Callithrix jacchus: one gene and its partner. The protein of the gene in region 1 purifies or fractionates together with the protein of each later gene. This does not show direct contact. Links are inferred from orthologs where the notes say so. Each region holds a gene or a part of one and is shown in the gene's direction. Other genes may lie near its edges.

The links.
Region 2: the proteins of DNAJC7 (region 1) and MLF2 purify together in Homo sapiens (affinity purification with mass spectrometry; 3 studies listed by BioGRID and IntAct, with this or other methods). This does not show direct contact. The link is inferred for Callithrix jacchus from reciprocal best matches to the Homo sapiens genes DNAJC7 and MLF2.

The regions. Positions count from the first base shown.
Region 1 is NC_133506.1:91,211,770-91,219,137, forward strand, and holds the start of DNAJC7 (dnaJ homolog subfamily C member 7), read left to right. Parts: upstream 1-2,594; 5' UTR 2,595-2,609; coding exon 2,610-2,686; exon of another isoform or gene 2,687-3,000; intron 3,001-3,044; exon of another isoform or gene 3,045-3,169; intron 3,170-7,368. Other genes in the region: NKIRAS2 (NF-kappa-B inhibitor-interacting Ras-like protein 2), read right to left, coding at 1-14. UniProt on the Homo sapiens protein: Acts as a co-chaperone regulating the molecular chaperones HSP70 and HSP90 in folding of steroid receptors, such as the glucocorticoid receptor and the progesterone receptor.
Region 2 is NC_133510.1:21,021,444-21,028,751, reverse strand, and holds the start of MLF2 (myeloid leukemia factor 2), read left to right. Parts: upstream 1-3,290; 5' UTR 3,291-3,444; intron 3,445-4,015; 5' UTR 4,016-4,043; coding exon 4,044-4,093; intron 4,094-4,324; coding exon 4,325-4,454; intron 4,455-4,702; coding exon 4,703-4,738; intron 4,739-5,883; coding exon 5,884-5,937; intron 5,938-6,341; coding exon 6,342-6,470; intron 6,471-6,625; coding exon 6,626-6,785; intron 6,786-7,308.

The DNA.
Region 1 (7,368 bases):
GTTCTAGGCTCCATGGAGGTGGGCCGATGTTCTGGTGTCTCTGAGACCCAAATATGCTCTCTCTAAAGGCGATCAGAGTACAGTTAGTCTTCGTTTACTCAACCACTTATTCGTCAAATGTTTTCTGAGCATCTTCTCTGTCTGTGCCAGGTACAGGGCCATATACTGAGAGAAGGTGGACGAGTTAGACATGGTGGCTGCCGATCAGAACTCACGGTCTAGAGAAGCTACATGTCTACCCAACAATTACTGAGATGCTATGGGGCACAGCAAAGGGGCATTTAACTTTGGGTCAGCGGACATTGAAGGGCTTGGGGGAAAGGGTATTCTAGGGTGGAGGAAACATGGCTACAGTCATGGAATTTTCTGGAACTATGATGACTTGAGTTCATTATTGGTGGTAGGAAGGACCTAAATATTGGTACTCAGGTCATTAAAAAAAATAAACAAATAATCAAAGGCCTTGTGTAGTAGGCCAAAGAGATCAAATTGATGGTCATGGAAAGCCACTGCCAATGAAGTGACATCATGAGTCCTTGAGGAAGATCACTCTGGCAGAAGAGGGAAGACTGGACAGAGATGAAACTAGGGACCAATTAGGAGACTACTGCTGTATTCCAAGTTTTTTGTTTTTGCTGTTGTTTTGTTGTTGTCGTTTTTTTTTTTTTTTTTTTTTTTTTTTTTTTTTGAGACAAGGTCTTGCTCTTTTGTCCATGCTAGAGTACATTGGTGTGATCATAACTCACTGCAGCCTCAAACCCCTGGGCTCAAGTGATCCTCCTGTCTCAGCCTCCAAAGTAGCTGGGACTACACATGCCACCACACCCAGCCTATTCCAAGATTTTTAAAAACGATGAGAGCCTGAATCAGGATGGAAAGGTGGAGATAGATTTGGGAAATATTTGGTAGGAAAATCAACAAAACTTGGCAACACATTGGAAGCCAAGCGTGAGACAGAGGGAGGAGTTCATAGCTTCCATCCTTCTCATATAGTGGCCAGGTGAGTGAGTTTAATCCATTTAACAAGATACGAAATTCAGGAAAGATAATAATTACATATAGCATTTGTTTTTTCTGTTGTTGAGGTGTGGGTAGAGAATGAAAAGTTCAACTTAAATATGGTAAGCCTTGGGGATGTGTGAAACAAACAAGAGATATCCAGTAGATAGTTGGATATACAGCTATGGAACCTGAAGAAAGGTTTAGGTTGGAGATATCAAGGGTTGAGATCATCAACAGACGGAATTAAAGCTGTGGGAATAAATGAGTTGCCTCAGATAGAACATGAAGTGGGAAGATAGCAAGATAGGTTGGCTAGCATTAGACTGAACTTTAAGCCACTGGCAGGCAGGGCAGGTGGTCTGTGAATCTTGTGCCCTCCCAACCTAGCAGAGTAGGCATTTTGGAAAGGGATACTGAGTGACTGGCTAAACAAATGACCCCTCCTTTCCAACCTAGCGAGCTTGTCCCATCCCTCCCTACTCAGTGATCGCTGTGGTCTGGATTGAGAACTCATAGGGTACAAGGGCACAGCTCCCTCTGGGATAGGCAGGGTAGGTGCATTGGCACATGCTGTTTTCCTGGAGGAAAACAGGTAAATCGTTTTAAAATTCCTTTGCCCTCTTTTTATTTTAGCTACCCTCTTTACATTGTAAAACTACTCCTCATATTCCTCCAATTTGACCCCAGAAAGCTCCAATTTAATTTAGCTCCACAAATAGAGGTTTGGGTGAGGGAATGACAACAAAGACAATTAAACTGTGCTCTTGTCCCCTATGAGTTCTCAATCCAGACCGCATTCGGCAAGACCAGCGTGATGAAAGTTTATATGAGAGGTGGGAGTACTGAGGACACAAGAAGCGGGGACCTCATCCCTCGAGCTTCCTTATAAACTCCAGGGCAGAGTCTGGGGCGCCATGTGTCCAGCTTTCCTAGGCTTAATGCTGAGATGGCACTCCCAGGTGGCTGACATGAAAGCAGCCTCGTAAAAGGGTCAGCGTCCTTAGGGTGATGAACCAGCTGGTGTTTGGTGATCCGGAGTGGATGAAAGGCGCAGGGTGAGGACGCCCTGCGTTCCCCTGGCTTGGTTGGGCAGGGCTTCCAGAGAACGATGAAAGCTCGGGGAACTGGGCTCAGAGTGTCTCTTGCCTTTGCCGGGAAGAAGCCGTGGACACACTCCAAGGTCGGAAAGGTAGCAGTGGGGACTCTCCCTCCAGAATCCTGGGTCACCTGGTCCCCACCCAACTCAGACTCCCTGGAGCCTTTCAGGGGACTCTCTAGGATTGGAAGTTGCTATGGCAACGAGGCTCTTGAAATACTGAAAACAGCCAAGCCCTAGAGAGGCTACCACCTGTACACCCCCCTTCCCACCCACGGGTAAAGTGGCGCCGCCTACGCACAGGAAAAGTCCGTGGGCTCCCGCCCCGGCGCGGAGACCACAGTGGACAGCCGGGGGCGGGAGGCCGCTCTGGCCCCAAACGGAGCCTCTCGCTGGTAGACTAGCCCGAGGGAGCCCTTCTGGGCGCAGCGCCGCTGAGCTGCTCTATGCTCCGACCGGAAGTGCTCTTCACCGCCTGCCTCCCACCCAGCTCTCTGGTCCCGGCGGTAAGATGGCGGCTGCCGCGGAATGCGATGTGGTAATGGCGGCGACCGAGCCAGAGCTGCTGGACGACGAAGAGGCGAAGAGGTAACCGGGTAGCAGGGTAGTAGAGGGGGCGAACTGCAGCTCCGTGGCTCAGGAAAACCCAGTTCCTGCCGTGATGCAGCCCTCAGCTGCTGAGGCGATGCCCCGCCCTCCGCAAACACCCCCCACAACCTGAGATCAAGGCCGGATGGACCCCCTTAAGGGGCGCTCTTGGGGGTCGGCCTTCCTTTCCCGCTTCCGCCTGGTGAAGGACCTGAGACATGGTCTAGTTCTTCAGCGGAGAGGACGATCGTCCTTATAGGAGAGGCCGGGTCTCGGAGGGCAATTTCAGAGGTCTGATGCGAGGTGGGGGAGGCGGCGCGGCGTCGATGACGACTTCCTTACATCTCCCCCGACCCCCGCCTTTCTCTTGTTAACTTCTGTGCATTGTTGCCTGTCTGCACTTTCCATCTCCAGAACCTTTGCTTTCCTCACCCCGTTTTCCCTAGTACTTGTACCCCAGCGATCACTAGTCTAGGGTTCGAGGTGAGTGTGTCTCCGTAATTGACCTGATTGCCCCCTGGTTATCCCGGAAGTCAAAGATGATGAAGAAAAAAGGAAGAGTGAGGGGCTTATCTGGTGTTATACACGTGAGACTCCTCTTCGTATCCTTCCTTATCCTTCCCAGCACTGTTCTTTTCTTAAGCAGCAAGGAAGAGGGCAGCTGCTTGGGCGCTGTTGGCACTCCGAAGCACCCGCAGTGGCTCGGGATTGCCAGTCGTACTAGCCAAGGGAGCTGCTGAGTGAGTGGTTTTCCAGAACACTCTAGATTCTGGCAACAGTTAGGCCAAATTATTGGAAGTGGGGTTGGAACAGAGTTGTGGGTAGTCATACTTGTTCTAATCCTAAAACAGAATTGACAAAAAGGTTCTAGAAGTTTGGAGCCCTTTTCTCATCAGCTGCAGGTTAATCTAATGCTTTTGTTCAAGATGACTACAGTGCCTTCAGTCTCCTTCCCACATACTTTATATCTTTCATACCAAGCCCGTTATGTCTTCAGGCTGCGTAATTTGAGGTGGCGGTGTAGAATTAGTTCATGAGATCTGAAATCAGTATTCTGAAGTTTTTACTATCTGATTAAGTTAAAAATATAAGAGGTACTCAGGTGCAGTGAATAGTTTTCAAGCTGTTATCACAGCCAGTGTCTCCATCTGTTGGGTGCTGAGAGGTCTGACAAAGCATAATAGGCCCCTGCGATATCAGAGAAGCCAGGAAACCAGAGTCTAGTCTTTGTTCTTAATTTTGAGTTTTCATGTTGTTCCTACTTCTTTCTAGATATTGCAAGTTAAGCATCATCAACCCTTATACATCATTAAGGAGTTGCAAAATGGGAGACAAAACTCTGCCCAGCGAAGACAGCCTAAATTAATTGTAGAGATTTACTTGTATTTGGAAAGAGTTCAGTGGTTCTTTATATTATAAATGGGGACTTGGCCATAGGTAACTTTAAAAACTCATCGTGCTCACTGTAAATCTCTGATGCAGAGTGTCCCTGTTTTGGACTTCATTTCAAAGCCTCCTATCTAAAGCAAATAAATTTCTTCAATCACAGCCTGAGAGGATATTCTATCATAAAATTGGAGTAAATGAACCTGAAGACATATTATATAAAATAGGTTATGCTATAATGTGACCACATCACACAAAACATAGTATTTGGTAGCAGTACAATAAAATAAATAAGGTAAACTACCTTATTACTTAAGGTAGTTTAATAACTACTTTATTTCCTGGAATTTAAGATGTCATTAGGCCAGGCACAGTAGTTCACACCTGTAATCCCAGCACTTTGGGAGGCCGAGGTGGTGGGTCACCTGAGGTCAGGAGTTTGAGACTAGAGTGGCCAACGTGGTGAAACCCTGTCTCTACTAAGAATATAAAAATTAGCCAGGTGTAATGGTGTGCTCCTTTAATTCCAGTTACACCAGATGCTGAGGCAAGAGAATCGCTTAAACTCTGAAGGTAGAGGTTGCAGTGAACTGAGATCACGCCATTGCACTCCCACCTGGGTAACAATGAGATTCCATTTAACATCATTTATTGCAGAATGCAAATTATTTTATCTGTCACTAAGAAAATATAACTGTAAATTAAACTATGAACACATGTGTTGTTCCTGTAGTTCAAATAGTGAGAGAAAAAAAATTTTTTTAGTTGAAAAAAGGCTGGGTCTTGTGGCTCACACCTGTAATCCCAGCACTTTGGGAGGCCGAGGTGAGTGGATCACCTGAGGTCAGGCGTTTGAGACCAGCCTGACTAATATGGTGAAACCCCATCTCTACTAAAGATACAAAAATTAGCTGAGTGTGGTGGTGCACGCCTGAGTGGAGATTATTGCACTCCATCCTGGGCAACAAGAGCAAAACTCCATCTCAAAAAAACAAAAATTTTAAAAAAGGAAAAAAAAAAATGCATTCTTATCAGATTTTTATATTTCTCATATATAGCACTCTTTTTGACATAAACATTTATTATTATGTCGCTTCTGTGCACAAATCAAAAGGAAAATAAATGAAACAAAATCATTTTAACTTTTTCCATATCAGACATCCTTAGAAGAATAAACATTAGGGGCTGGGCACAGTGCTTCATGCCTGTAATCCCAGCACTTTGGGAGGCCAGGGCAGGTGGATCACTTGAGGTCAGGAGTTCGAGACCAGTCTTACCAACATGGTGAAACCCTGTCTCTACTAAAAATGTCAAAATTAGCCGGACACAGTGGTACACGCCTGTAATCCCAGTACTCAGGAGGCTGAGGCAGGAGAATCACCTGAACCCAGGAGGTAGAGGTTGCAGTGAGCCAAGATTGTGCCATTGCACTCCAGCCTGGGCAACAAGAGCAAAATTCTGTCTTGAGAAAGAAAAAATAGTAAACATTAGGCTCTGTTAGTATGAAAAAGCCTTGTTTATATATGATTTTCTAGTGCTGAAAATAGGGTAGAGATATAGAAGCTTTGGAGGGAGGTGGTTTTCTGTTTTTCATATTTCCTGGATTCCTTATAGCAGAGGGCAGTGATAGGAACATCCCTTACAAATGCCCTTTTACTATCTGGCTTGGTTAGGGTTCTTTGGCCAAGTTCCTGCCTCTCTCGTTACAGTCCTACTACCAGTTCATTTAGGGATACAAGAGGTAATGAGTCTCTTGGGTTGTTTTTGTGAGGTTCAGCAGGAGTCCTTCCTTCCTTAGATCTTGGCTTAAAATGTGTCCTGCTACTGCTAAATTGTCACAGTCCCACTGGGGGCAAAATGAGAGGAGCTTTTAAGACGTTGGACTTTACAGTTGCAGCATTTTAAATGGCTGCATGTTTTAGTTCCTTAGCTTTAGTGTCTCTAGAGAGAAAAGAAATGGATTTCAGTTTTTTTGCATGTCTGTTTCCCACTGACAAAGTTCTGTTTCCCTTATAGCAGCCAAGAAGCTAAAATAAGGCTAGGCATAGTGGCTCATGCCTATAATCCTAACACTTTGTGAGGCTAAGGTGAGAGGATTGCTTGAGCCCAGAAGTTTGAGACTAGCCTGGACAACATAGTGAGACTAAGTCTCTACAAAAACATTTAAGGCTGGAATTACACCCCTGTAATTCCAGCACTTTGGGAGGCTGAGGCCAGTGGACTGCTTGAGGCCAGGAGTTCGAGACCAACCTGGGCAACATGGTGAAACCCAATCTCTGTTTAAAAAAAATACAAAAATTAGCTGAGTGTGGTGGTGCATACCTTTTGGCCCTGATGCTTGGGAGGCTGAGTTAGGAAGGTTGCGGCTACAGTGAGATGTGATCATACTACTGCACTCCATCCTGGGTGATAGAGTGAAACCCTGTCTCAAAAAAAAAAAAAAAACAAAAAAGATTGGGGCTAAAATAAAAGACTTATAGTTGGTACTCCAAAATAGATCAGGATTCTGTTCATGAAGAGTAATTCTCTTTGCTTACCAGAACAGGCAAAGCTATTTATGAGCCAGAGGGTTAAACTTCAGATGTCTCACATTTCGACCAACTTAAGGCTTTGTGTTTTCCTGGGAAGATGCTGGACTGTTTTACCTAATATGGGAATACCTGGCTTTTTGTTTTTTTTTATTGTACTTTAGGTTCTGGGGTACATATGCAGCTCATGCAGGGTTGTTGCAGAGGTACATAGGGAATACCTGTCTTGAGTAAAGGATCTCTTATCATATGTCCTGGGTTGGGAAACGGCTTGGTCTCTGTAGGGAATCTTTCTTACGGCAAACTTGAGGGATTTCAAATGGTTGAGTTTTTCTGTTTTTTTGAGGTGGAGTCTGGCTCTGTTGCCCAGGCTGTAGTGCAGTGGTGTGATAACGGCTCATTGAAACCTCCATCTCCCAGGTTCAGGCAATTCTGCCTCAGCCTCCTGAGTAGCTGGGACTACAGTTGCATGCTACCATGCCCAGCTAATTTTTTGTATTTTTATTAGAGACGGGGTTTCAACGTGTTATCCAGGATGGTCTTGATCTCCTGACTTCGTGATCCACTTGCCCCGGCCTCTCAAAGTGCTAGGATTACAGGCATGAGCCTCCGTGCCCGGCCTCAAATTGTTTTTCAAAGAGAAAACACTTCTTTGTCTCAGCATATACCTAGTGTGACTGGACAACAAGATCGAAAAGAATCAAGGGATCCATAGACCTAAGACTCAGGACATCCTTACCTGATTCCTTGAGCTGATAACTTCTCTGT
Region 2 (7,308 bases), on another chromosome or scaffold:
CTCTCACCCAGGCTGGAGTGCAGAGGTGTGATCATGGCTCCAGCAATCCTCCCCACTCAACCCTGAGTCACTGGGACTATAAGCACACACCATCACATCTGGCTAATTTTTTTACTGCAAAGATGAGGTCTCACTATGTTGCCCAAGCTGGTCTCCAACTCAGGACTCAAACGAGCCTCCTGCCTTGGCCTCCCAAAGTGTTGGAATTACAGGTGTGAGTCACTGTGCCTGATCAACAATTTCTTTCTTTTTTTATTGAGACGGAGTCTTGCTCTGTTGCCCAGGCTAGAGTGCGATGGCAAGATCTCAGCTCACTGCAACCTCTGCCACCTAGGTCCAAGTGATTCTCCTGCCTCAGCCTCCCAAGTATCTGGGACTATAGGCACATGCCTCCATGCCCTGCTAATGTTTTGTGTGTATTTAGTAGAGACTGGGTTTCGACATGTTGGCCAGGCTGGTCTGGAACTCCTGACCTCAAGTGATTGGCCCACCTCCACCTCCCGAAGTGCTGGGATTACAGGTGTGAGCTACCGCACCTAGCCAACAATTTCTTTTTAATCTGGGACAAAACCTAGGTTTTAAGCTTTGTTTTTCATAGTTAGAAACTAACTATGATTTGAAACCATTCAAAGGTAAACATCGCTGATGGCAGATTTTTTTTTTTTTTTTTTTTTTTTTTTGAGACAGTTTCACTCTTGGCACCCAGGCTGGTATGCAATGGTGAGGTCTCAAAAAAAAAAAAATAAATAAATAACAGGTAACCAAAAAAGAAAAAGGTGGCTAGAAGATTGTATGCCTTAAATTGGTAGAGACTGGTCGGGCGCGGTGGCTCACGCCTATAATCCCAGCACTTTGGGAGGCCAAGGCGGGTAGATCATGAGGTCAAGAGATCGAGACCATCCTGATAAACAAGGTGAAACCCTGTCTCTACTAAAAATACAAAAATTAGCCGGGCATGGTGGTGTGCACCTGTAGTCCCAGCTACTCGGGAGGCTGAGGCAGGAGAATTGCTTGAACCCAGGAGGCGGAGGTCGCGGTGAGCCAAGATCGTGCCATTGCACTCCAGTCTGGGTAACAAGAGCGAAACTCTGTCTCAAAAAAAAAAAAAAATTGGTAGACTGTGTCTTATACTTTTGTATGTATGCGTAATACAGTGTACCTAGGACAGTGCTGAGCCTCATTAAACTTTCTTTTTTTATTTTTATTTTTTATCTTTTTGGAGACAGTCTCACTTTATCCCCCAGGCTGGAGTGCAGTGGTGTGATCTTGGCTCACTGCAGCCTCCATCTCCCAGGTTCAAGTGATTCTCCTGCCTCAGCCTTTCAAATGGCTGGGATACAGGTGCCTGCTAATTTTTTTTTTGAGACAGAGTCTCACTCTGTCACTCAGGCTGGAGTGCAGCGGCATGATTACCTCACTGCAGCCTCTGCGACCCAGGTTCAAGCAATTCTCCTGCCTCAGCCTCCTAAGTAGCTGGGATTACATGTGTGTGCCACCACGCCCAGCTAATTTTTAGTAGAGACGGGGTTTCACCTTGTTGGTCAGGCTGGTCTTGAACTTGTGACCTCGTGATCCGCCTGCCTCAGCGTCCCAAAGTGCTGTGATTACAGGCATGAGGCACCGTGGCCAATCTTAAACATTTGTTGATTGGCTGGACAATAAATAACTTGCTTTAAGAGGAGAAGAGGACCAAAAAAAAAAGTCGATAGGATCTCCTTAGTTAAGTTTCAGCCACAGAACCTTTACTAGGAACAACTCCTTTTCACATGTCAAACTGCTTTCGTTTGGGGAAGAGGATAAGGGGAAGTTGCATGGTGGGATGTCCAGAGATAGAGCATCTGGAAGATAAAATATTTTGCTGTCTCTTCCCCAGAAATAGCAATGAAAAACAAATTTACTTGTATTCTGTTTTCCTTTGACTGGACAGCCTGCCAGCTTAGATCTTAATTATCTGTCTCTGCTCCCTGTCTCTATTATTGTTGTTTCCTCTTTAATAATGGTCAAGTCCAAAGAAACCTGAGAAGCCCTGTTCCTAGCACCTTTTCCTGAGTCACCAGGGACCCCCTCCTTCTCCCCCAGGGAATTACTGGAAACAAGTCTTTCTCCTTGGGTCAGGCTCCACACAGCACTAATATGGCTAATCGCCAGAGTAAAGAACAGGGAAAGCTGGAGTTTGGATGAGTCTGGTTAAAGTCCATGCTAGACAGTCCAAATCCCTTGACCCCAAGTGGGAGGGCCCTTCTCTCCAGCAGAGCCAGATTTATGCAAGACATTTAGTATGTCAAAGTATCAGTCTCTAGCCTTGGAGGCAGCTCTCCTGGGTCCCGTTTTAGCTCCTCCCCTGGGTGATCCAGGTTAATTGAGCTCTCCACTCCTTTCTTCTCAAAAACTTTAGACCTTTGACCTAAGAAAGCAAGCAAGAAAGGTCAGTGCAGGACTGGGAGCTCTTGAGGACGCAAGAATTAGAGTAAAAGGAAGGGAAGATTGGCATTAAACGAATAGACTTCAGAACTGTAGCCTTTTCCCGGTCCAACCCTTCACAGATGGGTAATGGGGAAGGGTCCAAGTCCCTCTCCAAAGCCAGTTCTCAAGGGCCTCGGGTTCCAGCCTGGCCGAGGAGCGCCATCTGGCGGCCAATCCGCAACCTGGATTCTCTGCCTCATCGGATTTTCTGAAGCCCTAACCAGATCTGAGCTGGAGAGTTTCACCTCCTCCTCTTCGTCACTCCGGGGACTCCGCCCTGCCAGGAACTCTCCTCTTCAAGGGGGTACAGGCCCAAGCGCCTCACCCGCAGGAAAGCTGCCCATCCTCCCTCCAGGGTAGAACGCTTTTCCAGTAGTCTGCTTAAAGCTTCCCCCAGGGATCCGCCCCGCCTGGTGGCCCAGAGAGCCTGCCCCTCGTCCTCCAGTTTCCCCTGGAGGAAGGAGAGGGAACGTGCTGCACTGCGCCCCCAAGTTCAACCCCCAACTCGGTCCCTCCCGAGGAATAGATTCCTCTTCTCCTTCCCCCCGAGCCTTTGGGAGCCTCTTCCAGTGCACAGAACCCAAATCCAGGTTACTAATGAGCTCCCCTTACTCGTGCAAAGGGAACCCCCGCCCGGACTCAGGCTCCGCTCCCCTGAGTTTGGCCCCAAGCCCCCGGCCCCGCCGCCCCTGGGACGCGGCCACAGGCTTCTCACCACCCACGCCAGTGGGCGGGGCTCCCACGGCCCGGCCCCGGGTGGGCGGTTGCACGATGACGTCACTTCCGCCCGGGCCTGGCCGAGGTTCTTGCTCCGTAGGCCGAGGGGTGGTACGGAGGTGGCAGCTGTGGGAAGAGGCGGCGCGGGAGGCCGCAGAGCTCGAGCTCGGACCAATCCCCGCGTCCCGGGCCGCGATCCTGACCCTGCAGCGCACCGGGAAGCGAAACCGGCCGGATGGGCCGCTGAGCCCGAATCGGGCACTGGTGAGGCTCCGGCAGAGCGGGCAGCCAGGGACGGGAGCGGGCCCGCGGGGTTGCAGGGTCTGGAAGCCGGGGATGCGGGGCCGGGAGAGGAGAGGCTCAGGCCTACCTCTCCTGCCCGCCTGCCGGGGAGGCGGGAGCTGGGCGAGCCGCAGACGGGCGCTGGGGGCACAGTGAGGCCTGCCTGGGGGAGGCCTGGGTATAAGGAGGGGGCGGGTGACTGGGGTCATTAATGGGACGGAGGACCGGCACTTAGGATTCTTATCTAGAACGGTGACGTTGGGGGAGGAGGGGAGAGTATGCAACCGGCCAGAGCTTTGGGAAGAGGATGACTGAGTGGGGGAGGGAGAAACCCAGAGGCTTGGAAAAATTTTCCATGGCCCTAATTGAGAGAGAGGTTTGAAGAGCTCTTCTCTCCCTAGAGGGTTGTGTGGAACACCTGTAGTAGGGTCTCCCCGGAGTTTAGAGGGTCAGTTACAAGGTTTGGGAAAGGCCAGTGCGGAGAGTCCTTACACTGAGTGGGTGTGCAAAAGCCTGGCCACCTCCACGTACCTGAGCCTCCACACCTTTCCAGTGTGGAGCTCCCCGGAGCTGAGATCAGGATGTTCCGCTTCATGAGGGATGTGGAGCCTGAGGATCCCATGTTCCTGATGTGAGTATTCCCTCCCCCTCAAGCTCTCCCACTCCAGGTCTCTGAGCAGTTAAGGCAGACATCTGGGTTCCCATTGCTGGGAATGGTTGGAACTGGTTGGATACCCAGCTCCCCCCTAGCAGGAAGTAGCCTATTGGTGCCACTGTTGCCCTGTGCGTATTTTTTTGCAGGGTGGTGGAGGGATTGACAGCTTGGTGCTTCTGCCATCCATACTATGTGCTCACTTCACAGGGACCCCTTTGCTATTCACCGTCAGCATATGAGCCGTATGTTGTCAGGTGGCTTTGGATATAGCCCCTTCCTCAGCATCACAGATGGCAACATGCCAGGGACCAGGCCTGCCAGCCGCAGGATGCAGCAGGTAATGGTGCTGAGACACACCTGAGACCCAAAGGTTGGAGGGTGGTTAGGAAGGCACATTAGTTTTCTTGCCCTACAGCTAACTGAACAAGTGAAATGCTCTAGGAGTGGGGGAAAGGGTCAGGAAAAAGAGCTTTATGACTCCCTTTCGAGAGGATGGAAAACAAAAATTGAGGCCATGGGCCTGGTTTGGGATTGTAAGGAGATAGGATGAAGTCTCTAATTTCTGTTCCTCATGTGTTCCTGTAGACTGGAGCTGTCTCCCCCTTTGGGATGCTGGGAATGGTGAGTCCTCATCTCCCTTGGGCCTTCCATTTCACACACACTCTCTACCCTTAGATATTATTCCCAAATTTGCCTCTTTGGCATAGTTTCATGGGTAACCCCAGAATCTTCTTTTCATGATGTTCACAAAGCTCTGAGCCTTTTAGATGCTAGGAGCCCTGTGGATTAAAGGTGTTATTTTTATTATTTTTTTTTTTGAGACAGCATCTTGCCCTGTCACCCAGGGTGGAGTGCAGTGGCATGATCTCAGCTCACTGCAACCTCCACCTCCCAGGTTCAAGTGATTCTCGTGCCTCAGCCCTCTGAGTAGCTGTGATTACAGGCAGAGCCACCATGCCCCTTTTTTGTATTTTTAGTAGAGACAGGGTTTCACCATGTTGGCCAGGCTGGTCTTGAACTCCTGACCTCAAGTGATCCGCCCGCCTCAGCCTCCCAGAATGCTGGGATTATAGGCGTGAGTGCTGGGATTACAGGTGTAGGCCACTGTACCTGGCGAAAGGTGTTACTAAGTCTGGTTGGGAGGCTGAGACGGCTGATAACTTGAGGTCAGGAGTTTGAGACCAGACTGGCCAACATGGTGAAACCTCGTCTCTACTAAAAATACCAAAAAAGCCAGGCATGGTGGTGCATGCCTGTAGTCCCAGCTATGCTGGAGGCTGAGAATCGCTTGCACCCAGGAGACAGAGGTTGCGGAGAGCTGAGACTTCACCACTGCACACCAGCCTGGGCAACAGAGCCAGACTCCATCTCAAAAAAAAAAAAGAAAAGATGTTATTAACTCTTGTACTCCTAGAAGTTCATACTCATTAGGAAGATGTAATTGTCTAGCAAAATCTGGTCTTTGCCTTATCTCTTTAGAGTTTAGAATCCATTAACTTTGGCTTGCTTCCTAAAGATCGGGGGGAATACAGAAGGCAGGAAAAGGAAAATTGAATCCGAGCAGTCATAGAGACTGAGGAGGGGTCAGCAGCTTACTGGAGGAGAAACATGAGTATTCTGGTTCTGTTAAGGGAGAATGAGAAAGACTACTTGCTAGATGTGAAGGAAGATGAAATGTGCAGCCATGTGGCTCGTGGGTTCCTAAACAGGATCAGCTCTGAACACTGACTTTGCTTTCCTGACTATGTTCCATCTCTTTCCTCCAGTCCGGTGGCTTCATGGACATGTTTGGGATGATGAACGACATGATTGGTAACATGGTGAGCCTTGCCCCACACCCTTCCCTGGCCTTGCTCTCAGTGATGGCTGACAACACCTTGAACCCTCTAAGGCAAGAGGGAGACAGAATGCTAGTGAAGGGTAAAGTACTGGATAAAGTAATTGAAGCAGAGAGCCTTGGGGACCGTGTATCTGCTGTCATGCCTGCCTGAAGCAGCAGCAGCACTTTTATGTAGCATACAATTAAGTCTCTGTCTCTTCAGGTCCTTCTTGACTGTGATTGGACTGAGAGGAATTTGGGAGGGTAAAATGAGTCCTGATGTTTTTTCAGTTGTTACATTTTGTGAGAAAGATACAGGCTAGAACAGGGAGCTGAAGGGTGAAATCCTTCACCAGGGGGGAAGTGCCTCCTCATTCAGCCCTCCCCTACCTACCCTGTCCTTAGGAACACATGACAGCTGGAGGCAATTGCCAGACCTTCTCATCTTCTACTGTCATCTCCTACTCCAATACCGGCGATGGTGCCCCCAAGGTTTACCAAGAGACATCAGAGATGCGCTCGGCACCAGGCGGGGTGAGCCCTCCTATCCCAGAGAACTTGGGATTGAGTGGCACTCACAGAAACCCTGGCTGCTTTTTTCGGATTGGGTTGTGGGTGGTGTGTTTATCCTGAGATGGCCAGGGCTTTGGAAGGGGTGGCTGAGTGTACCATGTTCTGCCTCATCCCAGATCCGGGAGACACGGAGGACTGTTCGGGATTCAGACAGTGGACTGGAACAGATGTCCATCGGGCATCACATCCGGGACAGGGCTCACATCCTCCAGCGCTCCCGAAACCATCGCACAGGGGACCAGGAGGAGCGGCAGGACTATATCAACCTGGATGAGAGTGAGCCTTCCCTCCCACTTCCTGGCTGGCATTCCCTAGTAGGAGACTTCCCTACCCCATAAACTTCTGGGCAAAGCTCTGGGTCAACCCCATATTCTTTTGCTTTCTTTTCTTTTTTTTTTTTGAGATGGAGTCTCACTCTTGTTGCCCAGGTGTCCAGGCTGCAGTGCAATGGCATGATTTCAGCTCAGTGCAACCTCCTCCTCCTGGGTTTAAGCAATTCTGCCTCAACCTTCCAAGTAGCTGGGATTACAGGCACGCACCACACGCCCAGCTAATTTCTATATTTTTAGTAGAGACAGCATTTCACCATGTTGACCAGGCTGGTCTCAAACTCCTGACCTCAGGTGATCCACCTGCCTCGGCCTCCTAAAGTCCTGGGATTACAGGCAGGAGCCACCATGCCCAGCTGTAGGCCCATATTCTTACTGCATTTGGAACCTCCTCAGCTCAGGGGCTGTGTCAGACGGGGCTGAGTCAGGTGCTGGCAGTGTCCTCACTGTGAGGGGCTGACTTTGTCCCT